Diceros bicornis minor: one gene and its partners. The main gene of each other region encodes a partner of the protein of the gene in region 2 in a complex. Links are inferred from orthologs where the notes say so. Each region holds a gene or a part of one and is shown on either strand. Other genes may lie near its edges.

What was found. The genes of interacting proteins can lie anywhere in the genome.
Region 1: GEMIN4 (region 2) and GEMIN2 share a complex: the UniProt entries of both Homo sapiens proteins name them as parts of the SMN-Sm complex. The link is inferred for Diceros bicornis minor from reciprocal best matches to the Homo sapiens genes GEMIN4 and GEMIN2.
Region 3: GEMIN4 (region 2) and GEMIN5 share a complex: the UniProt entries of both Homo sapiens proteins name them as parts of the SMN-Sm complex. The link is inferred for Diceros bicornis minor from reciprocal best matches to the Homo sapiens genes GEMIN4 and GEMIN5.

Annotation. Positions count from the first base shown.
Region 1 is NC_080744.1:11,013,749-11,022,132, reverse strand, and holds the start of GEMIN2 (gem-associated protein 2), read left to right. Parts: upstream 1-5,029; coding exon 5,030-5,199; intron 5,200-5,597; coding exon 5,598-5,682; intron 5,683-7,059; coding exon 7,060-7,149; intron 7,150-7,429; coding exon 7,430-7,489; intron 7,490-8,384. UniProt on the Homo sapiens protein: The SMN complex catalyzes the assembly of small nuclear ribonucleoproteins (snRNPs), the building blocks of the spliceosome, and thereby plays an important role in the splicing of cellular pre-mRNAs.
Region 2 is NC_080757.1:16,807,328-16,815,289, reverse strand, and holds the start of GEMIN4 (gem-associated protein 4), read left to right. Parts: upstream 1-4,129; 5' UTR 4,130-4,173; coding exon 4,174-4,183; intron 4,184-7,352; coding exon 7,353-7,962. Other genes in the region: diazepam-binding inhibitor-like 5, read right to left, coding at 2,886-3,149. UniProt on the Homo sapiens protein: The SMN complex catalyzes the assembly of small nuclear ribonucleoproteins (snRNPs), the building blocks of the spliceosome, and thereby plays an important role in the splicing of cellular pre-mRNAs.
Region 3 is NC_080740.1:71,286,826-71,294,926, reverse strand, and holds the start of GEMIN5 (gem-associated protein 5), read left to right. Parts: upstream 1-4,746; 5' UTR 4,747-4,800; coding exon 4,801-4,966; intron 4,967-5,778; coding exon 5,779-5,939; intron 5,940-6,662; coding exon 6,663-6,844; intron 6,845-8,101. UniProt on the Homo sapiens protein: The SMN complex catalyzes the assembly of small nuclear ribonucleoproteins (snRNPs), the building blocks of the spliceosome, and thereby plays an important role in the splicing of cellular pre-mRNAs.

The sequences.
Region 1 (8,384 bases), on a different chromosome or scaffold from region 2:
GCAGAGCAATGGCTCGTAAGTCTGACAACCCAGGAAAGAATCTCGACTCCATCCACTTCCTAGTTATGTGAACTAGGCGTGTTACGTAACTTTTTCTGAGCCACAATTTCATCTGAAAACAAAAATAACAATAATACCTACCACTTAAGATAACAATATATTGTGATGATTAAATGAGATAATCGATACAAAACAGCCCTAAGAAAGAGAAAAGCAGCCTCTTCACCCTGAAGGATCAAGACAAAATTAAGACCACTCTGTAATCGTGTCTGAAGTCAGACAAAATCAAGACAGTTGTGAGGGGAGGGCAAAAGTGGTAACAAGGTGATGGATGTACGGATGTACGGTGATAGACAGCAACTAGACTTTTAGTGGGGAATAAGATGTAGTCTACACAGAAGACGAAATATGATGTACACCTGAAATTTATACAATGTTATACATCAGTGTTACCTCAAAAAAAAAAATCAAGAAGATTGTCCAGTGAAGCCTCTCATCACTTACTGTGATTGTATAAGCAAGAGTTTAAACCTGGTGATCAGTGCCTCCCCCTGCTCCATTACCCTCATGGAAGGGCGTGCTGGTTGAGGGTCAGGTGGAGCAGGACAAATGTGGGGGTCATCTCACTGTTGAGGGAGCCCCGAACAAGAGGCTCCTGCAGATTTATCAAACCAGGTGCGTGGGGGGTGGGGGGGGAGCAGAGCGGCACTAGGAGTGGAGAAGTCCTGGGTACTGAGTTAGAGTGGGAAAGTTTCCTGGAAAGGAGACCTCCAAATGGAGACCCCTGGGCTAGGAATGCAGCTGTGCATAACAGCATGGCCGGCCAGGGGGCCTGAGTCCTTGACTGCAAGTTCCTTCAGAGACTGCAACGCACTGGCTGGGTGCACCAAGTCTAACGTGGGGAGGACAGTTTTCCCCTGTGAAGCCTGCCGGGTAAAGTCTTTGTAATTACTTTTGGTCGGGCCTGAAAAACCACAAATAGATTTTTAACCAGGAGCTGGACTCTTCAGAATTATCCCTGTTTCCTGACAGCAAAGCGCCACTGTCCCCAAATCACCTAACAAAGCCCAAATCCTACAATATATAAGTTAGTTCTAACCCCATCTTACTGAGACATTGCCTGGTTTCAGTAACCACGTGACTACAGGAGTATTCTGGTGGTCTCTGGTTGAAGGGCATTGACAGCCCCCAGCACACAGTAGGAAGATACTCCGTAAATATTAACTATATACAGCTACATTTCTCACAACCCTGTCCAGCACCATTCACTCCCTACCTTCTATGCATTAGCCACACTGACCTCCTTCCAATTTTTCCACCATGACCTACTTCCTCCAGCAATAAGGCCTTGAACAAACTCTTCCCTTTACCTGCTGAGACTGAATATACAAACAGACAATGGCCAGACCATACACATAAAAAAAGGACTCTGACCCACAATCTGCAGCAATCACCCCAGGAAACCAACCTATTATTCTACAGTAACCAGGCTGGCAACAATCCAAGAAGCCAAACAATAACCCCTGTAATGACTGTCCCAAAATAGCCAGAACTTCATTAATAATTGACAGCTTTCCTAATTTTTTTCCCCTGCTTCCAATTTAGAACCAACCAGAGAAAGCAAAACATGCACCCCCTAACCAATTTCATAGGATGTCCCACTTCTAGGCAGAATAGGGTTTCAGGGCATACCACCCCAAAATATGCCACTTTGGAACACTAATTATTTTGAGTTAAAGGCACTTGAAAAACAGCAGATGCAAGAAAGCTGCTCTGATCTTTTTTCTTCTTGAAAAGAAGAGATAAAACTCTCATGTGAAAGGCGCCCTCTCTAAACCAGGAGAAAGGAAGACCTTCTTATCACCTGACATGGGGAGTTAAGGCCAAGATACATCTGTACAAACAAACCTTGTTAAAGTAACCTTTATCTTCCCATTTACTTTTCCACAATTATCTGCCCTAGCCCAAATTCCTTCGTCTTGTCACAATTTACTATTTTCACAATTTACTATTTTTTGTCCAACCTAGTATGTAAACTTTGGGCGCCAATCTCTTTGGGTCTTGATTTTTCTTGTCAAGGTTCCCATGTACATGTAAAAAATACTAAATAAAATTTGTATCCTTTTCTCCTGTTAATCGGTCTTAGGTCAGTTTAATTCTTAGGCCCAACCAGAGACCCTAAGAGAGTAGAGGAGAAATTTTACCTCCCCTACAGTAGGCCACCTACAGCTTTCTCATGCTAACAGCCTCCCCTTTTTTCCAGTATAAGCTTTCCTACTTCTCTGCCTGCCTTTGAGTCTTTGCCAAAATGCAAGTAGTGGAGGCTGACTCCCTTCTTATAGCCAACTCTGAATAAATAGTATTTGCTTGTTCTCATTTGGTCAGTCTTCATTTATCTCCACACTGCAAGGCTCTTCCCCTCCCTTGAAATGTTCCTTAATAGAACTTATCACAGTTAACCTTTAAAATTCATCTGTGTCACCGTTTGGTTAACATCTCTCTGTCCACTGGACTGTAAGCACCACAAGAAAAGCAGCTCACCACTGTCACTCCCAATGCCTGCCCACCACAGTGCCTGGCACGTAACAGAAAACCGATAAATAACAACTGGATGACTAAATTCATTAAAGTTTAACGGCATAAAGAGGCAAGTGAAATTTTAGATTGTGGCCAAGGAAAAAAGAACTGAGAAAGTAGGATAAGACAGAAGAAATTCTAGTGTAGTAGATCTTAAAGAATAGGGAGGGAAAGGATAAAATGGATAGGCTAAGCTTTGTTTCTCACTTGAAATGCTTCTTAAAATGTCCACTTCAGGGCCCCACAACCAATCAACAGAATCAGAAACTCTGGAGGAGAGAGTTACAGGACCCCAGAGTCTCTATTTTAAATAATTTCCTCCAGATAATTCTTATACACACTAACATTTGAGAATAACTGAGCTGCTTAAGGGGATATAAATCACAGGGACAACTTTTGCATTTAGCTCTGTAAGGTTGACAACAGAAGCCACCATCATCAATAAACAGCTGTTGAGTGTTCTGTTCTCACAACGCTCATATAACTCCAACAGCCAACCACCAATGTAAGAAATACTGAAATACAAAAATCTCTCCCTTATAAGCTGAGAAGTGACTGCAAATCCTTGAAAATGGGGCACCAGAGGGAGTTGAGTACCTTAGGAATAGTCTTCCTGGGAGGAGGTTAGATGAAATGGTATTTATAGTTTTAGAAGTTCAGCTTTCCAAAAATTAAGCTTTTTTTTTTCAGAATAACTTCATCAACAAAATAAACTTATTCTCAGCTGTCCCATATCTCACTGAAACATTAAAAAAAACTTAGTGCAATTTCCAATTTATAACCATATTAAAAATCTGCTCCAAAACTCACTACTAATTCTTTTGTCTGATTAGTTTGAAGTAGCAGAAAACAACCTTTATAAATTTTTAATTTACCTTCCTCTCCCCTGAATGAATTCATTCTTGTGTATCTAAAATTTTAGAACCATTTCAGAATCATTCGTGTACTTTATTACTCACCTCTTCTTTTGGAGAATAATCTATTATTCTTTCCTGGACAACCTTTGTTCCATTCTGCTAGTCCTCTCCTTTCTTCCTTCATCCATGCGTAGTTCTGCCACATACTTATACATAAAGTCCGGTGTTAAGCATTGTTCCATTGGTGGTTGGTCTACTAGGTAATCACCTGTTCTTTTCTCCAGAAAAATGGGGAGAAATTGCTAATAAGGGAAAATATATATATATATATATTTGTAAGGAAATCCAGAACTGAAGTCTCTGCTTACCTTTTCTAATTTGTTCTTGATTATAACCAAAAAGTTTGGGGACGAGAGTATCTTCCCATATTTCTTCTCTTTAAGTCTGTTTCTTCCAAAATCAGTAAAATTTATAACCAAGTAACTTCCCAGTTTGACTGCAGCCAGGCAGTGTCTCTCCAAGTCTCCCAGTTGCTTAGTTACCGTTCATGAGCACTAATTCTTCAGCTCTTAACCTAAGGACTGTCCTCCCTTTATCTTCAACCAAGAAAGTGACATTCTGGTTTCGAAATCAATTGCTTGCAAGCTGAAGGCAGTGCTTCAAAAAAAGAAAAGACCTTAAAAATAAACATAAACCTTAGAAAATAAGTCAATTGCATTCACTCAGAGTTTGTTTAGAATGAGACATAACACTTGCATTGTTTCTTGCAATTTATGACCCAGCACAAGCTACTTACTCCATTTCTGCCCTGTTTCCTCACCTGTCAAGCGGAGATAATAGTACCCACCTCACAAGATTCGCCCTAAGGTTAATAATGCTAACTCCCGGGTGTTGGCATTAGCTTTATCCTTTGCACTATTTATATTTAAGCAAAGAGACCTTTCTGAAAAAAGAAAAAAGTGACGGCTACTCTAGGAGTAACATTCATTTCAGATAAACCTGAAATGATAAAGATAAAGCGATCTTTGAAATAACCAAGTACAAGAAATTCCTCTGGAAAATTAATTTTTCATTCATTTGGCGTCAGATGAATCCGGTGGAAGTGGCTCCGCCCCTTTGGGAGAAAGGCACAGTTGTAGGACTTACCCCCTTTCGGTCGCTTTCTTCCCCTACAAAACCGGGGTAATACCACCTACTTCAAAAGGTGGCAGTAACATTACACTACGAAATGTATGTGACCTGTCTACCGGGGGCTTAAAACTTGAGAGCTCAATAAATGATCATTACAGTAATATCGCTCATTAATTCAAAAAACATTTAAGGATCCCTCACTACTACGGACCCATAAAGGTTGGTAATCCGCAGTCTTCACCCGAACCTTAGCAGAGAGAACGGAGGATACCACGCAGGCGTACTTCAGAACCCCTTCTGCCAGGACCTAAATTCGCGGTCTCCATTACACCACCGGAGCCTTAACCTTGAGACAATCAGCATGTTTGCTTATGCGCAATTACGCCCCCTACGCCCGGCCTCTCGCTCAACTCCGCGCCAAAGGTGCCTACTTGTGCGCCTGCGCTGTAACCTAGACTTGGCGCATGCGCTGGGTGGGACTGGCTGGATTGAAAGCCATGGCGTGGGTACCAGTGGAGTCGGCAGTAGAAGAGTTGATGCCCCGGCTGCTGCCAGTGGAGCCCTGTGACCTGACAGAAGGCTTCGATCCCTCCGTACCCCCGAGGACGCCTCAGGAGTACTTGAGGCGGGTCCAGTGAGTGATTCGGCCCGGAGCGGGTGGGCTGGTCGTCCCCCTGCCCGCGGGGCCCCGCTCGACCCCAGTGTTCACGTGATAAAGCCCCGCCTCTTTTGCCGGCCCTCGTCTCCCGCCTGTTGGGGTCTGATCAAGATCCCCTGATTGCATCTTGACGTGGGCGCGTTTCTATGAACTTAATTCTGTAAAACCTGATTACCTGTGTCAAGATGTGTGCTCTTAGATTTCCTTGGTTTCAACCCAGATAATTTCAGAAATGTGTTGTTTAGTACCTCAACTGCGGTTCTGAACTTTTCTTCTGATTTCGTAATGAACTGTAGAAATGCATCACTCGTTTTACTGCACATGAACAAAGCACGATAGTAATCACATTTCTTGCATTTATCATTTATTTGTAGGATCGAAGCAGCGCAGTGTCCAGATGTTGTGGTAGCTCAAATTGACCCAAAGAAGTTGAAGAGGAAGCAAAGTGTGAATGTTTCTGTGAGTTTTATTACCTGTCAGGGGATATTTTTACCCCCACAAATTAAAAGACCAAGGCTCTTTCTATAATATCTGACAGTATCAATTATGAAGTAGATAAGATTTGACTGCACCCTGCAAGGTTAGACGTTTGCTTGTACTTTTTCCCTCAGAAGGATGGTTGGCATTTACTGCCTCCGAAGAGGCTTTCAGTAACCCTGGCGTTCTTGGAGATTTGCTCATTCTTGAGGGACATGATCCAATCCTAAAGGAGTCTTTAAATAGGTTATTTATGCTATGTTTTGTTTTTAAGGAACCTTTTTCCAGTTCTTCATAATTATTGGACTGGTGTTTTATTTAGTGTAGTTTGCATGTTCTAAATTTGACTAGGTTTTCTTTTTGGAAACCCAAATATTTTACACTTTTCCAGCTACTTGCACACTGTGAACGTTTTCATTCTTTTATTTATCCAGCACATTTTTATTAAGCATCTAGGTTGTGCCAGGCACTGGGAATACAACAGAGGATGAGACAGGAAAAGTCCTTACTCTTGTAGAGTTTACATTCTCCTGAGGAAGACAGAGTAAACAAATAAACAAACTAACTAATTACACGTTTGTGACTATTACTATGAAGAAGATTAACATATATAATGACTAATAAATAACAGGGAGAACTACTTTACATAGAGCAATCACAGAAGGTCTCTGAGAAGGTGCTATGTAACCTAAGGTCAGAGGAGAGCTGCGGTTTTTAAATTGTGATAAGTCCTTTTCCTTTTATGTTCGAAATCTGATGTTTATAATCGCGAAATTTTAATTCAGTCACCATAATATGTCATATAATTCCTTTCGGAAGTTTTTAGATGGTGGAAGATGATGTCTTATATACCTAGCTTTTAAAAAGTGACCACAGTAAGTTTTATTTCAAGGCAAAATGTGATCAGTTGTGAACTGTGTGCTGTTTTAGGAAACATAAGTAGCCCTTGTAAAGTCAAGTGTCTTAAATTATTTATCTACATTCTGCCCATACCAAAATTCTTTATTTCTCTTTTTGTTTCAAACTGTTTTGCTATTATAGAAGGATAGTCCTAGATTGTATCTTCAGGGCTCAGATCATTTAGGTTTCTTAGGAACTCCAACTATAAACCATTTGAGATTGCTCTTGTTAAAGTGACTATATAAGGATCTTTTCCTAATGTTTTAAACTCAGACATAAATAGTAAAGTGAAATGCCTACTTTTTTGCATCTGCAAAAAGTACACAATCTTTCTTATATAATTTTAATCATTTCCCTTATTATTGACTCTCCTTCTTGGTTCTACTTTTACTCTGTAGAGGCATGAGATTCTAGTTATACCACTAACATTGATTCTAATGTTTGTGAACTGATCTCTAGCTGTCAGGATGCCAGCCTGCTCCTGAAGGATATTCCCCCACACTTCAGTGGCAACAGCAACAAGTGGCACAGTTTTCAACTGTTCGACAGGTAAGTGTACTTTAATCATTTAATTAAATTAAACTCCTCCCTCCCTCCTTCAGATTTATTTCTGTTCTTAGACTGTAGTTGGAAAAATAAGATTCCTGATTCTGAAGTATAAAGATAATATTTATGGATGAATTACCAAATTATTATCGTAATATTAGACATAACACAGTTTGAAACGTTATTTTCCAAGTTTTAGGGTTGTTAGAATGTTGTATAGAAATTGATTTCTTTTCAGTTATCCCTTCTCTGAAGATCACTTGTCTAACTTTTCTTCCTCTAGAGTGTGAACAGACATAGAAGTCACTGGAAATCGCAACAGTTGGATAGTAACGTGACCATGGTATGTAAGTTTCTCTGTTTAAGTTGTCCAGTGTGTACCTATTTGAAATAGGCCATATGTACTTCCAGTCTTTTAAAGATTCACTTTCTTAGTCCATGTTATTTTCATTCTGTTCCATCTACCATTAACGGTAGCAATTCCATTATATTAGTAGCCTGAAAAGTATAGAGTCAGTATACAACAATGCAAGTTATTTTCATGACAGTTTTAATCCACAGCATCTTGAGAGACTTTGGATGGGTAATTGTTAGGCCTCTACAAGTTTCTAAGGGTTCTTCTAGACATTTGCTTTTTAGGAAATAAATACATTTTCATATTTACAAAAAGACTGAATAAAGGCTTATTGGATTTTCCTGATGAGGAAGTGACGCCAATACCAGTAACAGTGCCTGTCACACACGCCGGAAAGTAGTATTTCCCATGTTTTATCACGTTGGATATAATTTTAAGCTCTTCAGTAGATATTTTCTGTCTGGACTACTGAATAAAAAAAGAGAGTTGGGGAAGAGATAAATACATTGTTCCGGGACAATACTTTTAACGTTTTAGGGAGTCTCATATTCATCCTGAGAATCAAATGAAAGCTATTTATCTTCAGAGGAAAAAAATGCATCTATGCACACAGTTTTGCTCATAGTTTCAGGTGGTTCATAGATTTCAGATTTTAGAAGCATCCTCTAGGCAGTGCTTCCTAACATCTTATACATGGTAGCACGTTGGGATAATGGAGGAGGCTGTTCATATAGTCTAAGCCCACCAGCTGAAAGCTGCGAGATTCAGTATATGGCCTCTCTATGCTTCTTCATACCAGATGGAAGCTCTGCTCTAGGAAAAGTATGAAAGAAACTAACAGCACTTGCCCAAGATCATTTAACTCATAAAAGGTGTAGCTGAG
Region 2 (7,962 bases):
ATCCCACTGCCTTCTACTTACTAAGCATACAAATATGTGTATTCTTATTTCTCCCTTTTTCCCACCAAATTTAGCACACTGTGTGAACTATACCTTGCTTTTTTTTTTTAATGTATCTTACAGTTGCTTTCTGCAGTCCTAATTATGGTCCACTTTATCAGGTTTTATAATGATTTACAGAATGATGTGGCTATACCTACAGCTCCTAAATTGACGCCATATTTTGGAGCAAGATGTTCCATTATTATTTTTACTATTAATTCACATTTAATATTAATCATGGTCCTAAAAGCATCAAAATGTGTTCATAACATCCTCCAAAGAAAAGAAAACAGCACAATTATTGTACAGTGTGGATCATGCCCAGTTTATAGTTATAAGGAATATTTTTTTAGTCACTGGTGTCCTGGGTATACTTCATTCTTAAGTAATGTACTTAGTTTATAGCAGCTTCCTGCAAATGTGTGAACAGAAGATCTGAAGAGATCTGGTGAGATTTGGTTTCTTTGTCCTCCGAAGTCTTTATGGTTTTTGCTTCTATTGTTTAATGGTTTTTCATGAACTGGAGCTGCCCTGATAGCTATGAAAATAGGTTTTTTTTTTTTTTTATGAGGAAGATTGGCCCTGAGCTAACATCCATTGCCAATCTTCCTCTTTTTGCTTAAGGAAGATTGTCCCTGAGCTAACATCTGTGCCAGTCTTCCTCTATTTTTTGTATGTGAGACGCTGCCATAGCATGGCTTGATGAGCGATGTGTTGGTCCGTGCCCGGGATCCGAACCCATGAACCCCAGGCCACCAAAGTGGAACACATTAACTTAGCCACTGTGCCACTGGGCTGGCCCTGAAAATAGTTTTTAGTTGAGGAAAAGTATTAGGAAATTCTATGCCATGGCAGATGTTTTTCCCTGAAATGTCTTGAATATCATTTAGTACTCCATATCCCAGTGCACCACTGTGCATTGATGCCTCCGTGATAAGGAGTGGAAGCTGAGCTCAGGTACTTTGGCCCTTGCATAGGTCATGGGGTGTGTTGTGCTCATAAAACAAAACCCATATACATATATATACGTGTTGTCCCACAAACATCCCCAAGCAGAAACCAGGCTTAGCTACAGGGTAGTCCCAAGAAACTTTTGTCTGCGTGGCCTCAGATGAGTCTTTCAGAGGCTGGGATTTTGAAACCATCTGCTCCAGTCTTTCTCAGCTTCTGTGTTGTGGTGCATCAGTTACTTCACTTAAAGTTTGACTCCCCTCAAAACAGTAACTTAGGGCCGGCCCGGTGGCTTAGCGGTTAAGTGCGCACGCTCCGCTACTGGCGGCCCGGGTTTGGATCCCGGCCACGCACCGATGCACCGCTTCTCCGGCCATGCTGAGGCCGCGTCCCACGTGCAGCAACTAGAAGGATGTGCAACTGTGACATACAACTATCTACTGGGGCTTTGGGGAAGAAAAAAACGAGGAGGATTGGCAATAGATGTTAGCTCAGGGCCGGTCTTCCTCAGCAAAAAGAGGAGGATTAGCATGGATGTTAGCTCAGGGCTGATCTCCCTCACAAAAAAAAAACATTAACTTCATCAGGACTGTATTCTAGTAGGGGCTTTTGGTAATAGAACTTGACTTGAGCTTTTTGGAAGACAAAGCTCCTTTCCCCTCTGTAACGGTGGGTTAGTAGTGAATCCATAACCCCTGAAGAGATTAGGGGCCTCGGCCTCCTCTCCTCCCTTCCCCTCCCGCAGAGGCTGAGCCTCTGGAGAATGGCTCACTGACCTCAAATCTTGGGCATTTTTATAGCATGATTCTCCCCCCCAGTCCTCTACTCCTGCCAGATGTCTACATATGCTCTGGGAATAGAAAGACTGGGAACTCTTTACTCAGAATCATACACAAAGCCAGTTTTGATGGAACTTTTCCCAGAGAAGAGATGCTTTTTATATATTGTGGACACCTACCTAGGACTCTCACAGTCACCGATACCAGCTCAAGACAAGGTTGACATAAGGGAAGCCATATTGTAGAAAAGAAACCCTGTTGTAACTTTTTTTTTTCATATTATTTATTTATTTTCCCCCCAAAGCCCCAGTAGATAGTTGTACATCACAGTTGCACATCCTTCCAGCTGCTGTATGTGGGACGCGGCCCCAGCACGGCCGGAGAAGCAGTGCGTCGGTGCACGCCCGGGATCCGAACCCGGGCCGCCAGCAGCGGAGGGCGCGCACTCAACCGCTAAGCCACGGGGCCGGCCCTCCCTGTTGTAACTTTTAATGGCCTCTGACTAGCCCAACTGGATATGCACCCTCCAGGAGATGTAACCGCTCTGTAGATTTTACAACTCCTGCTTGTGCATGTACCTCCCAGCTGTGATGAGATGATAACTTTGTTCTTTTGAGTTCCTTAGGAATGTGATGACCCCCTTACAGACAGTCTATGCTGATAGCCATCATCAATGAAACTGAAAGATCTGGTGTGGCGACTCCCAGTCTGAGGGTTGACATTCCTAACCCCCTCCCCTATACCCCACCGGCCTATATAACTGCTGTAAGATTTTGTGCCCCCTTAAGATGGTTCTTTGAGACATTAGTCAGCCATCTTCCCCCTTGCTAACAAGATGTGATAAACTGCCCTTTCTTTTCCACCATCTTGCCTCTTGATGATTGGCTTTTGTCTTGCAGCAAGCAGATCCTGCCCTTTGTGCTGTAACTTGACTTTGAGTTTATCACTTTTCCAACAGCAGACAATCACTCCCATGCAGTTTAAGTGATTTATTGATGTCTCAGCTATGGTTGTTATGGTTTCAGGACATTTCAGCCATCAAGGTCTTTTAAGAAGCCCTTTTCCCTACCAGAGGCGCCGTGCTACTTCGGTCTGACTGACACTCTGTCCTCCTTAACCAGTATCGTTTTTCTTCAGCTCTTCCACTTTTGCAACATAGATCCTTATGGCGTCCATCTTGGACATCCCTTTGTTCTGGTTCCATGCCTCCCACTTGGCCTTGGCTTTCACGTCTGTGGTGGGCGGGGCAGGGATGTTGCAGTCGCCCTGGGTGGCCTGTTTGTAGAAGCTGTACACCAACAGTTTCTCTTGATCACTCACAGGTCCCTTCAACTGCTTGATAGCAGCACAGGCCATCTCAAACTCCACCTGGCACATTGCAGGAGCTGAGGCGGCGCCCCTCTGTCCTTTCTAGGTGGTATCTGGCGCTAGAAGCTGGAGGGGAGAGAGTTAAAAACGCTTGAGGCTGGTAGTTAAGTCTGGAAAGAAGGGAAAGGGAGAAAAGGAAACAGGGTAACGTGTGAGAAGCCCATAGGATATTTGTGTGTGTGTTTTCTCAGAAATCAAATGTGTGTTTTTATAAAGTACAGATTGCAAACTGGAGTCCATTGGACTGGATCTGCCCCCACAGTTGTTCTTGCTCGAATTTTCTGGGGAGGACAACCATTAACATTTCAAAGGAGTCTATGATGCCAGAAAAGAAGGAGCTGCTGCTGCTGTCTGAAGGCCGAGCACTGGGGCGATTGTGGGCTGTGGGGCTAGGCGGCTCCGAGCCGGAGATGGGCAGACCCGCTGCGGGGGGCGAAGCCTCTCAGAGCATGGCGCGTCTATGCTGGTTGGGAGGCAGCCTGGGGAGAGGCATTCCGTCTGGGTGAACTGTGTGCGGGGGGATCCCGGGGATTACCGAGTCGGGGAGGATGCGGGGCCAGGGACGGAGCTAAAGGGTAGGATCGACCGGGACTCGAGAAGCAGGGCTAGGCAAGGGACTGGACAGATGCGTGGCTGAGCGGAGCACTGAAAGCAAGGCGGCCGGGCCTGGTGGCCTGGGTCGGGGCCAGACGTTTTGGGGGCGGGCAGGGACCGGGTAGAGGGAAGGGCGGGCCCGCCGCGGTGGCAGAGAGGCGCAGGCACCTGCCTGTCGGCTGGTTGGAGGCTTCGGGCCGATAGGGGGCGCTGCGGGCCCGGCGGCCTCGAGGCCGCGGGCTCGTTGGTAGGACCGCGCGTGCGCGCCGAGCGGCGGCAGGACTGTGCGGACCGCGCGGAGCCCGAGCTGAGACTGGGGGCGGTGCCTGAGGCGCGGCCTATTGTCCCGCCCCCCCGCTGCCCATTGTGCCGTGGCGCCTGCGCCGCGCTCGCGGCCTTGGGGGGAGGGGCGCCCCGCGCTGCCGCTAGCGTCGCCGCCATGGACCTAGGTGGGTGTCCCGGCTGCCCGGTCCCGGGCCCGCCTGGGCCGCGTCCCGCGACGGGCGGCCGGGGCGGTGCTGAGCGGGCCCGGGCCAAGGGGGACCTCCTGGTCGGGGGGATGTTGGGGATGGGTGTCCTCGAAGAGCGGGGGTCGGGAGGCCGGGCTCTAGCCCGGGCCCCGCCGCTGCTTGGCCGGCCCCTCGCCCTCCGGGCCCCTTTCCACGCGAAAGGCCAAGCGGATGTGTAGTTAGATTTCCTGAAAGTGGACCGGACTCGAGGGCGCCCCGGGGAATCCCGGATGCCCTGGCGGTCTCATTTATTGAACGTCTACTGTGTGCTTCAGCAAGTGTCTTAGGCTCATGAGGCCCTCACTGATAAAACGTGGATGATGATAATGTAACCGCCTCACGGAGTTGAGGGGTTTTCGTGGAGATCACGTGTATACAGCGTCTGGGACGGCGCCTTGCGCGGAGCTAGCGATCATCAGACCAGCAGTTGTGGGGAGGGGTTGCAGCAGCCGTCGGGCACGTGCATCTTGACTCAGAATCCTCAGGCAAGGTCTAGGAGAAGGGAGCGGGGCGCTGGTATAAATCGGTGGCTCTTTGCCCAGCTTCCCACCCTGCTGGACAAGCTCTTAAGGGGATAAGACAGGCGGCTGTTCTGGGAGAGCTGGGGGAGGTACCCCAAGATGCGCCAGTAATAGTAGGCTGTGGAGAAGTGTTCCGGTCCCTGTCCCCAGACAGCTCTTCAGTGGTGGGACGGTAGAGCTGCAAGAGTCCTGCAGCTGTGGTGATTTCTGTCCCAGACCTACCGTTTTTAGTTGCGACATCCTGAGCAAATTGTTTCTGAGTCTCAGCGTTTCCATCTCTAAAACAGGAATAGTCCTCAAAAGGTTGATTTGAGGATTAGGAGAGATCTTACATGCATACCACCTAGCACAGTGCCTGGCATGGAGTAACCACTTAATAAACATGATCAGTGGGCACTCACAAGCACCGGTTAACCAGCAGTGATAAAACACTTGGGATCTGCCCAGGGATAAACTGCTTCTGGGACTTATTCCTTCAAGTAGCACGTGTATGTACTTATGGATTATGTCTCTGGAAGCTAGGTGTTGGGGGAAACATCTCAGTTGAGCTGATAATGCAATAAAGTTAAATTTACAGAGTCATAAGGGAACATATATGAGGGCCCTGGGAGAGCAGCCTGAGTAAGAAAGAAGGGCCAGAGCCCCTCAGCAACCTACCCCTCCCTGGGAGTCTGCTTTGGCCACTGGGAGCCAAGGTGGATTGCTTTCACTAGTGGTTGCATAGGAGGGCTGATCCCTTGGCCTTTTGCTGCTCCTGTAAATGGTCAAAGGGGTGGGATATTCTGTAGTCTCCTGGAATCTGGATTTTTTCTCGCCTCCTGGGGTGTGAAAATGGGGAAGATGTATTCTTGGAGGCATGAGGGAGTGAGGAAGGGGTGGCATCTCTGGGTCCTGGGAACGGGGGTGGGGGGATGGGGATGAAAAGTTAAGAATACTGAATAGTGAGCTGGCCTGGTGGCACAAGGGGTTAAGTGAGCGCGCTCCCCTGCCGCGGCCCGGGGTTCGCCGGTTTGAACCCCGGTCGCACACCAATGCACCGCTTGGCAAGCCGTGCTATGGCGGCGTCCCATATAAAGTGGAGGAAGATGGGCATGGATGTTAGCCCAGGGCCAGTCTTCCTCAGCAAAAAGAGGAGGATTGGCAGATGTTAGCTCAGGGCCAATCTTCCTCACAAAAAAATAAAAATAAAAAAAAATACTGGATAGTGAGCAGTGTTTGTGCTCTGATTTGGTTTCTGGGCCAACGTAAACAAACCTGAGAAAGACCTGTGTCCTTTTTTGTTTCTGAGCTGGGGGAGGCAAAAGATAGTGACAAGATTCTGGTCCTGCCAACAATAGAAAGGTTTGGGGAAAGCAATGTTTTTTGAGCACCTAATTGGGCTCTTTGTAGCCTGACTCTTATCATAGTTATAGCTTATTTAACCCTTGGCAGACCTGGCAGATGGGATTGGGAGCTAACAGTGAGCACCAACCCACTGCCACGGGTTTGACTAGTATAGAGCATTTGATCTTCACAGTCATAATATGAAGTCTGTATTATCCCCACATGCAGAAGGGAAGCTCAGAGAAGTCATCTGTCCAAGGTCACACTGCTTTTAAATGGCTGAGCTAGGATTTAAAACCATGTCTCATTAAACATCCCAAGATGCCTTCCTTGATAAGTCTGTGTCGATTCATGGCTCACTGAAGGAAGGACTTTTCTTTCTTAATCTAGTGCAGTATTTTTTTTTGTATCTACCTCTTGGTTTCTACCAGAGAACCAGGGCCATGAGTAGCTTGTTCTCTTTGATGGAAAGAGCCGTGGGGTGAACTGTTTCCATGAAAGGCAGAACGTTTGAAATCTGTTTGCAAGACAAGGCTATAAGAGAAAAGTGCTTGTCTGATTGCTTCCGTGCCTCTCCTAGTCTGTATCCTTACTTAGAAGCTCACTTGTCACGTCCTGCAGTATGTACTTGGTGGCCCCTGCGGTTGGGTATTGTCTTTGTGCTATTCTCCTCTCTCTCTCACTCAGCCCTTCCTCCCCAGAGCCTCTGCTGATCCATCCTTTGCTGGAGGGCCTAGCCTCAGAGGTGGAGCTTTTCCTTTTCACTTGCTTTTCCTGCAGGATCTCTCTCACTTCCTTGGTTCCAGTGATCCCCTCTGGGCAGACACCTCTCTGAGTCACATTTCAGGGCTGACTTTCCTCATGAGTGTCAACCCCACATTTCCATTGCTGGAGGACGTCTCTACCTTAATGTTCTACCCCAGACTCCAAATAACCAAATCTAAACAGTGTTCCCTCCAAACCTGTTCTGATTCTCCTGCATTCCCTATTTCCAGTGGTACCTGTTGTCTTCCCAGTTCCAGGCTAGAGAACTGGGGAGTCCTTTTTATTCCTCAGGTTAAGTTCTTTTGACTCCAGCTCTGCAGTGCCTCTTAGAACCATCTCTTCTTCCCCCTCTCCCACTGATTTCATTTAGAACCCTTATCATCTCTAACCCTGATAATGACAGCCAGCCTACTAACTGCTGTCTCTCCCTCTAATCTCGGCTTACTATTCTGAAATTTTTTTCACCACACTCTTATCTTATTTGGCTTCTCTCTGTGCAGGACCCTTGAATATCTGTGAAGAAATGACTATTCTGCATGGGGGCTTCTTGCTGGCCCAGCAGCTGTTCCGCCCCAAAGCACTGGCAGAATTGACAAAGTCTGACTGGGAGCATGTTGGGCAGCCCATTGTGGAGGCCTTGAGGGAGATCTCCTCCACCGCAGCATGCTCCCAACCCTTTGCCTGGAAGAAGAAAGCTCTGATCATCATCTGGGCCAAGATTCTTCAGCCCTACCCTGTCAGCCCCTCTGACACTGAAACTCGGTGGCAGGAAGATGTGTTTTTCTCAGTAGGCAACATGATCCCTACCATCAATCACACGGTCCTTTTTGAGCTGCTCAAGTCCCTGGAAGCTTCTGGACTCTTTATCCAGCTCCTGATGGCCCTGCCCACCACCATCTGCCGTGCAGAACTAGAGCACTTTTTGGAGCACATGATGATTGACACTTCTTCAAAGGATGTGGCCTTTTTCCTCGATGTCTGGTGGGAAATGATGAAGCACAAGGGCAATCAGCAGGACCCCCTGCTCTCCCAGTTTCGGACAATGGCCCATAAGTACTTATCCTCTTCAGATGAGTTCTCCCATCCTCCAAAGAGGTTCAAGTCAGACCC
Region 3 (8,101 bases), on a different chromosome or scaffold from region 2:
TCATGTAGTAGGCTAACTTATGTTTCAGTTTCTTATCTTCTTGCCAATTGTTTTGTAAAAGTAGGGCTGATAGAAGAAATATGTAATCTCACCTAAGACTGTTGAATGGCTACTGAGTGGTTCCAGCATAAAATCTGATTCCTTTGCAAGAACTTCATGGTGATATCATCCCCACCACACCTTCATAGTGCCAGGCACTTTAATTGACGTTTTACATATTAGTCTCTTATTTTTCATAACCACCCTCTAATGTAGATATTATCTTCATTTTTTAAGATGAGGAAACTGAGCTTCAGAGAAGTTAAGCACATGGCCACAATATTTGTCTGCTGCAGAGATCCGAAATCCAGCTCTATCTCCTGCAGCCCAGTGTTGATTCAATTATATCACACTGTTGTCATCATTTTTCCACCAAATTGCTAATTCATGACATTTCCAACTTGGTTATTCTTGCAGAGAATTTTAACCTACGTACAGTTTAGTCACTAGTGCTTTCAAACTTTTACACTAGCTCTTCTATTTCTAAACCACCAAAATTACTCTTCACTTTTTTTTTTTTTTTTTGGTGAGCAAGATTAGCCCTGAGCTAACATCTGTTGCCAGTCCTCCTCTTTTTGCTGAGGAAGACTGGCCCTGAGCTAACATCTGTGCCCACCTTCCTCTATTTTATATGTGGGACACCTGCCACAGCATGGTGTGATAAGCAGCCTGCAGGTCCGCGCCCAGGATCCGAACCCCAGGTACCAAAGCAGAGTGCGCAAACTTAACCAGTACGCCACCAGGCCAGCCCCTATTCTTCACTTTTTAAACTTAAACTTTAAAATCACCTCTTCCGAAAAAAAGACTCCCCTGACAAACCCCTTCTGGGCCCCTCACTCTGTCTCTCCCATGGTGTGACAGAGCACTATTCAAAGCCAGAGAATTTTTTGTTTAGATCCTAGGTTTGCCTTGTATTAACAGTGTAACCTTCCGTAAGTCACAAAACTTCCCAAGTGCATCCATCAGGAAAATGGGAGACTCGGAATTTAAAGGTTACAAATTGTCAGTCAGCTACCAAATACAGCCTACAGAAAAGTTTTACTTGGCCAGCAGCATTTTTTCTTAATCCAATAAAATGCCTTTAGATGAAGAATGCACCCTACTGACTGCCACACGCCCTACCACTCTCTCTCCTTTTACACAGCTCACCTCTCCTGGTTCGTTGATTTCTACCAGCTGTCTGGTATCTATATGCAATTAGGTTCCCAACTGCTGAAACAGATGATCTCTAAGATTTTACATGGTCATCATGAACATTTTTTATACCTTTTCTACTTAGTTTTTATATAATCATTTCCCCATTAGAAAGTCCAGAATGCGGATTCACAAAATTATATAACTTCAGAACTAAAAAGAGACTTAGAAATCATGTAGCAAAATCCAACCGTCTTGTATTACACAGATGAAAAGACTGAAGTCAAACTGCTTAAGTTACCTGCTCAGAGCTTCCCAGTATAAGTCAGTGCAGGACAATATAAATCAACAAAAATTAACAAAATATTCACTTTGTGCAAGATCCTATGTTGGAGTTACAAACAGAAACAAGAATTGTCCCTCTGTCCAGGAGATACAAGCTAGTAAAGGGCACAGACACATATACGTGAAGCCATTATTCAAAGAACACATGCTGAAAGGAAGGAGAAATTAATTTCTTCCATTTTTAGTGAAATCTGAGAAAATCTTGTGAAGGGGAAACATTTCCACAGATGTTTGAATAATGAGGACTGCTGTTATAGACAGGAAGTGAGGGCACAGCATGAAAAAGCCAAGAAGTAAGTAAATGCACAGCATTTTCAGAAAAAGTAAGTAAACCGGCATGGCTGGGGTGGAGTGATAGAAAATAATCTAAGAAAGCAAAGTGAAGACGAATTCTAAAGGCCAGTGCTTCCCATTTTCTTCTTTAGCCCACCTCTTCATCCCTGACCCAAGAATCTAGGACAGGGCTAAATATAATGGGAATATATTATATTATATTATAAATATATTTATATTTTATTATTTATTTTTTATTTTATTTTATTTATCTTTTATATTTATTTTATACCTATATTTATATTATTTTAAATATATTATATTTATATTATAAATATAAAAATATTATAAATAATAATATACAACGACAAAACCACTAATGGCAGCTAGGATTTAAGGTGGGATTATTATATGCCATCCACTATACGAAACACTTCATATGCACTATCTCATGTAATCTCCATAAAAAAATCTATGAAGTAGGTACTAACATTACTCATATAAAAGAACCAAAGCTTAGAAAGGATAAGTGACTGTTCCAAAATTACAGAGTTATGAAGTGGATTCACACTCAACTTTTCTGTCTCCAAAGCCCACGAACTAAACCACAATAAATGCTAACAAATGCCCCGATCAGAATATTTACAATCAGATTATCAATCTCCAAATATCAACAGCTGTACTGCTGACAAGGAACAATGAGAGGGGAGCAGAGAAAGGCTTCTTGCCAGTACTGACTCAACTGCATTTCCTAATCCTAAAGAATGCTTTTGTCCTGAGGTCAAAGAATGCTCTAGAGAGTATAATATAAAGCTTCAAAACTTCCTATGACTGGGGGACCTTGGGCAACTTATTTTACTTTGGGGGCTTCAATTTCCTTGTCTGAAAAATGGGTATAGCAGTACTACACTACGTGGACGTTACGAGAATGAGGTAATGCGTATAAGGAGCTTAACTCAATGTGAGGCACGATGTAAACCGCGGTTGTCTACAATACAGTGCCTGCTCACGTAAGCAAGTAACGAGAGAGGTCACTAGAAAAGCTGCACGCTCCCGACATGGTTGGGAGAGTCTAACCACGTCCAGAAAGATCAAAAGAGACTGTTCAGAAAAAACATTTTCAACGTCCCTTGGATAATGGGTAATCCTGATCTCCGCAGGGCTATGCAACACGGCGGGGAAAAAACGGGTTGGCAAAGCAGAGACTGGCTCTCTTGTTCGCTAGCCCCAGAGCCTAGAGCAGACCTTGGCACACACGCTCAGTAATCGACTGACAGACTAGTAAGGAAGCCTCGGGCCCTTCTGCAACTCCGAGGCGAGAAACTTACCCCAAGGTCAGCTTCCCCCTCAGATTCTGCATCCATAACGCACCTGCAATATCAACACAAGCCATCACTTCAGACTCCCACCTCCACTCCCTTCCTCCATCCCTTAACTACTAAAGAAATCCTTACCCAAACGTTCCAGTACTGCCGCCGCCATCTTTGTCCCTCCCTCTACGGAAGCCTCCGAGTTCATACACCGTCTGGACAAGACGCATGCGCAATTCTCCGGATTTCCTCCCCGTCGGGAGACCCAGCAGTACCTATACCTGTGTTGTCATGGAGACCGTGAACACGCGGCCGGCGCTTAAGTGTGGTCCGGCCAGCCTTGCTTGAGAATGAATGACTTAATAAAGGCCTAAAAGTAGCGAGTTTCCGGAAATTCATCGGGATCCAGAAAAACTGCGAAGCCTTACCTCACAAATGATCTAAAGGATTAGGAAAACAGAGACCGTGAATAAGCCACCTAACCTGGGTGGGCCTCAGTATTCTCGTCGGTAAAACAGTCAGAAATGAGTATCCCTACAGCACAGGCTTGTCGTAAAGATCACTAGAGATCGTGGGAAAGCTCTTTTAAAGAACAAACAGTTCAAATACTAAGTATGACGTCCTAATCCCTGCTAATCTCCAGGTTGAGGTTGATGTCCAAAAGATGAGTTAATATTCATCGGGCACTTGCTACCATGTATGCCCAAAAGGCGTTTCACTAAATCTCCTGTAGTCCTCACAGCAATCCAACAAGGCATGGATTATCATCTTCCTTCTTCAAATGAGGAAACAGATATGGGATAAGTTAAAGTCTCTCAGATAACAACTGGCAAAACCAGTGGTCAATCTAGGACTGGGTGTCTCCAAAGTTAGTGCCGCTGCCCACACCCAAATATCTGTTTGACCTCACTATAATAGGAGAGATATTTCAGGTTTCATTTGCTACGGATGTAGGAGGGCTAGATACCCAATGCAAACAAGTAATTCAGAAGGAGAGTCTAAGTGCTGAATCTGAGCATCTTAGCATGTTTGCGTTGGAAGGAAACTTCCATTCTCTTTCCTCCACAGCCTTTACCATGTACAGTGCCCTTCACAGAGCTGGCACTCAATCAATCAAATCAAAAGAGTGTCACTCATTCTGCTTCTCCTTGAGTACCAAGAACCCAGAGCCAGAATTTCCACCTAGTTGCAGACACTCTTCCTTCTCTTTTTGATTTCTGATTTGACCTTTTTATCTTTTGTTAATTGGCTTCTTGTACATATCTTTAAAACATCTCCAGAGTTAGCAAAGGGCCTTGGCACGTAGCGTTAAAAAAAAATACTTGATGGGATAGCGGTTGAACAGGTCCAAAGAATAAACCGGCAGTGCGAGGAGGTGACTCCACCGGTCTAACCCTTTAACTATGTACCTTGCTCTAAGAGGCGAGAATGCCTACCTCAGGGCTAGGCTCAGGCATCACCAGAGCCTTCGGCCGCGGGCGGGGTTGGAGGCAGAGAGCGACGCGCGGGGCCCCGCCCTCCCCGGCCCCCGGCGGCGGGAGCAGAGCGCGCGGTGCGGCCTGGGCCTCCGAGCGCGCCGTAGCGGCAGGCCCGAGGAGGCGGGGCTCCGAGCCAACCCCGCCCCCTTCCCGGCTACGGCGTGGGGCTACGAACCTTCTGCCTCAGCGGCTCCTTCCCTCTTCCCTGGTGGCGGGTCATCATGGAACAGGAGCCGCGCACGCTGCCGCCCTCCCCTAACTGGTACTGCGCCCGATGCAGCGATGCGGTGCCCGGGGGCCTCTTCGGCTTCGCGGCGCGGACCTCTGTCTTCCTTGTCCGCGTGGGCCCGGGCGCGGGCGCGATCCCTGGGACGCCCCCATTTCGAGGTAATTCTCCTTCTCTGGGCCTCAGCCTTCCTGCACTTCTTGAGTTCCCTGGGGGCGCTGAGTGGGCGTCTCCAGCCACCCCTCTCTTTACAGGTGGGGAACTGAGGCTTGGGCAGGGAGAAAGGTCTGCTCACAGTCACTGAGCTGAGTCGCGTCCAGGTCTCCAAGATTGAGCTACACCACTCTGGGCGAGCGGTCCCGCCTCCCGGCGCTCTCACGTGGGACCGCTCGCTTTCTGAAAAGTTATCCTTGTCTAATTCCAGGCATTTATAACGTCTATGGCTGGCCTGCCTGCCTCCCCCACCCAGTGAGCTCGGGCCCCTGGGAGCCTTCCTGGGCTTGGGGGCTGCCTACATCTCCAGGCCTTAAGCAAGATCCTGCAAATATATTATACTCATTTCTGTAAGATAAGTGACTTGAGCCAGATGCTTTCCGGTTCCAAACTAGGTTTTGATTATGCCTTGGGATATGGCATGCCAGATACTTATTTTATTCCAAACGACCTCTGGCCAGATCTAAATAAGAATCACTTTTACATTGTTCATTTGAGCTGCTTCTCAGCCTGAGAACTGGGCTCATCAAGGGATGTCAGCAGCATTTTGCAGTTGGGAAGACAGGCTCAAGGAGATAAAATGACTTGTCTGAAGTACGTGGTGGAGCCAATACCAGCACTTGGGGTTTCTGATTGTGACTCCCTGGATATTTTTGTTATACAGTAGAGTAAGTGAGATCCCACTCATCATCTCAGGACAGTATGATTCTGCCAGAAATCTTAGGTAACGCTCTAACCTGGAGTCTGGTTTTGCTTGAAGTCATAGGGGAGTTGGTGGGACACACCGAAAGGGTCTCTGGCTTCACGTTTTCTCATCACCCGGGTCAATACAACCTCTGTGCCACCAGCTCTGACGATGGGACTGTGAAAATTTGGGATGTAGAGACAAAAACAGTTGTGACAGAACATGCACTGCATCAGGTACCATGGCTTACTGGTTTCTTAGACCGTTATTATCTATCTGTACTGAGGGTTCTTTTGCTTCAAGTATAGTTTTGCTAGCTCATCTGTGCAAGTAACTTTTATAATTGTGTTCATTAATTAGATAAGAAGTTCTGTATTGTAAGGTGCCTCAAAACTTTTTTGGAAGGAGATACGTATAAACCAGGTCAGCAAACTACACTGCTGCCTGCTTTTGCAAATTGTTTTACTGGAATACAGCCACAGTCATTCATTTAAGTATTGTCTACAATTTAAGTATTGGCTGCTTGCATGCTACGATGGCAGAGTTGAGTAGTTGCAACAGAGACAATGTGGCCCACAAAGTCTAAAATATTTACTATCTGGTTCTTTACATGAAAAAGACTCTTGATGTAAACTATAAATGAGTGAATGAAACATATTTCTAAACCAGTTGATTAATTGATATACCTGCCTTTTGAGATAATGTTGGAAAGGAGAAGACTCACTTAATCTTAGTAAGAACTTTGCATTAAGCTATTAAAGGAAGAAATTTTTTAAAATGGTTCTTTGATCCCCAGTAGCCTAAATTCTCCTATCATTTGGTTAATGTAGTCTTGCTCTACAAGTGGTACTAACAGTATTTATTAAATACCTATCATGTACCTAGTACTGTACAGGTTAAAAACTAAAAATTCAGCATTGACAAATGAGAAGCAAATGTATTTTTGTTTTGGTTTCAAGCATACAATATCAGCATTGCATTGGTCTCCTCGAGTAAAGGATTTAATAGTATCTGGAGATGAAAAAGGAGTAGTTTTCTGTTACTGGCTTAACAGAAATGACAGCCAGCACCTCTTTATAGAACCCAGGACAATTTTCTGTCTTACTTGCTCACCTCATCATGAAGACTTAGTAGCCATTGGGTAAGTACTGTACCCTCTGTATTGATAATTTTTGTTTATGATCATATTTCGCATTTGTTTTACCTTCTCCTGTCCTTTATTCCTCAGAGGAGACCATTTGAAGATTTTAACCACTCTCCCTGAGCCCTTGGTATCATTCATTCCTGTGACTTCCACACCTTTACTATCTCTCCTACTCTCTCTGTTTTTGTTTCCTTTGTTTCCATGGTACTGTACTTTCCTCATTCTTCATATCTGGTTTCTTTAGTCAACCTCCAAATGTGGGAAATACCCTCTTTCGCCTTTTTCTCCCTCTGTACTTGTCCATGGATATAACACTTACTCTTAGAGTGTCAAATGACTAAGCTCTGTCTCTCTGGTCCTCAGCTCTCCCTCTACATTGAGAAAGTGATCTGGCATTGGGGTCCGTCTCCTCATTGATCACCAAGGTTGTTTTACAGGAGCTGCCTGAGTAGGCATCTCCCTTTCCTTCACCACTCCATTTACTCCTCTCTCAAAGATGTCCATTCTCTGTAGTTTGAAGACTTGACATAAGCACTAGGTATATGGGAGTATTAAATGGAAGATAACATTTTCCTTTATGAAAGGGCTATATTTTTGTGCTGATGGAAATGAGGCAGATGAGGGAGAGCTTGTTGCAGGGATAAACAGTGATAAATATGAATACAGGAGTGATGTTGAGAAGTCATGAGGGGATTGGATCCAGATCACAAGTAGAAAGAAGAGCTGAGAATATGGAAATCGGTGCAGGTAAGTTTGTAGATCTGGTTGGAAGAGAATGGTGTTTCTGATGGCTTCTGATTTTCTCAGTGAGGTATAAGTCAGAGAGGTGAAGTCAAGTTCAGGGTGGGAATGGAACTGGATGCAGGAAGAAGGTATGAAAACAGTCATCTCAGAGAATAGGAAGATGAACTTCCTGAGGGAAGTGGTAGGTCCACTGGTGCATGTTGACTGCCAAGCTAAGGGTCATGGTCATGACTTTAAAGAAAACTACTCAAACTGACTAAGGAGATGGTTGGATTCAGCCAGGTTTGGGATTTTGTGGAGTAAATATACCTGAGAGAGAGGGGACAGAGGAGATAAGGGTGTTTTTAAAGGAGTGATTATAATGATGTATCAAGAAATCTGTGTTGCATGGGAGGAAGGATAGGAAGACAGGTGAGGGTAAATAATAGAAAATGGAAGGGGTCTGTGGATCGGTGGTCTCTGGGAACTGCGAGCATTGTTGCAGTGGGGGTACTAGAGAGGGGGAACAGA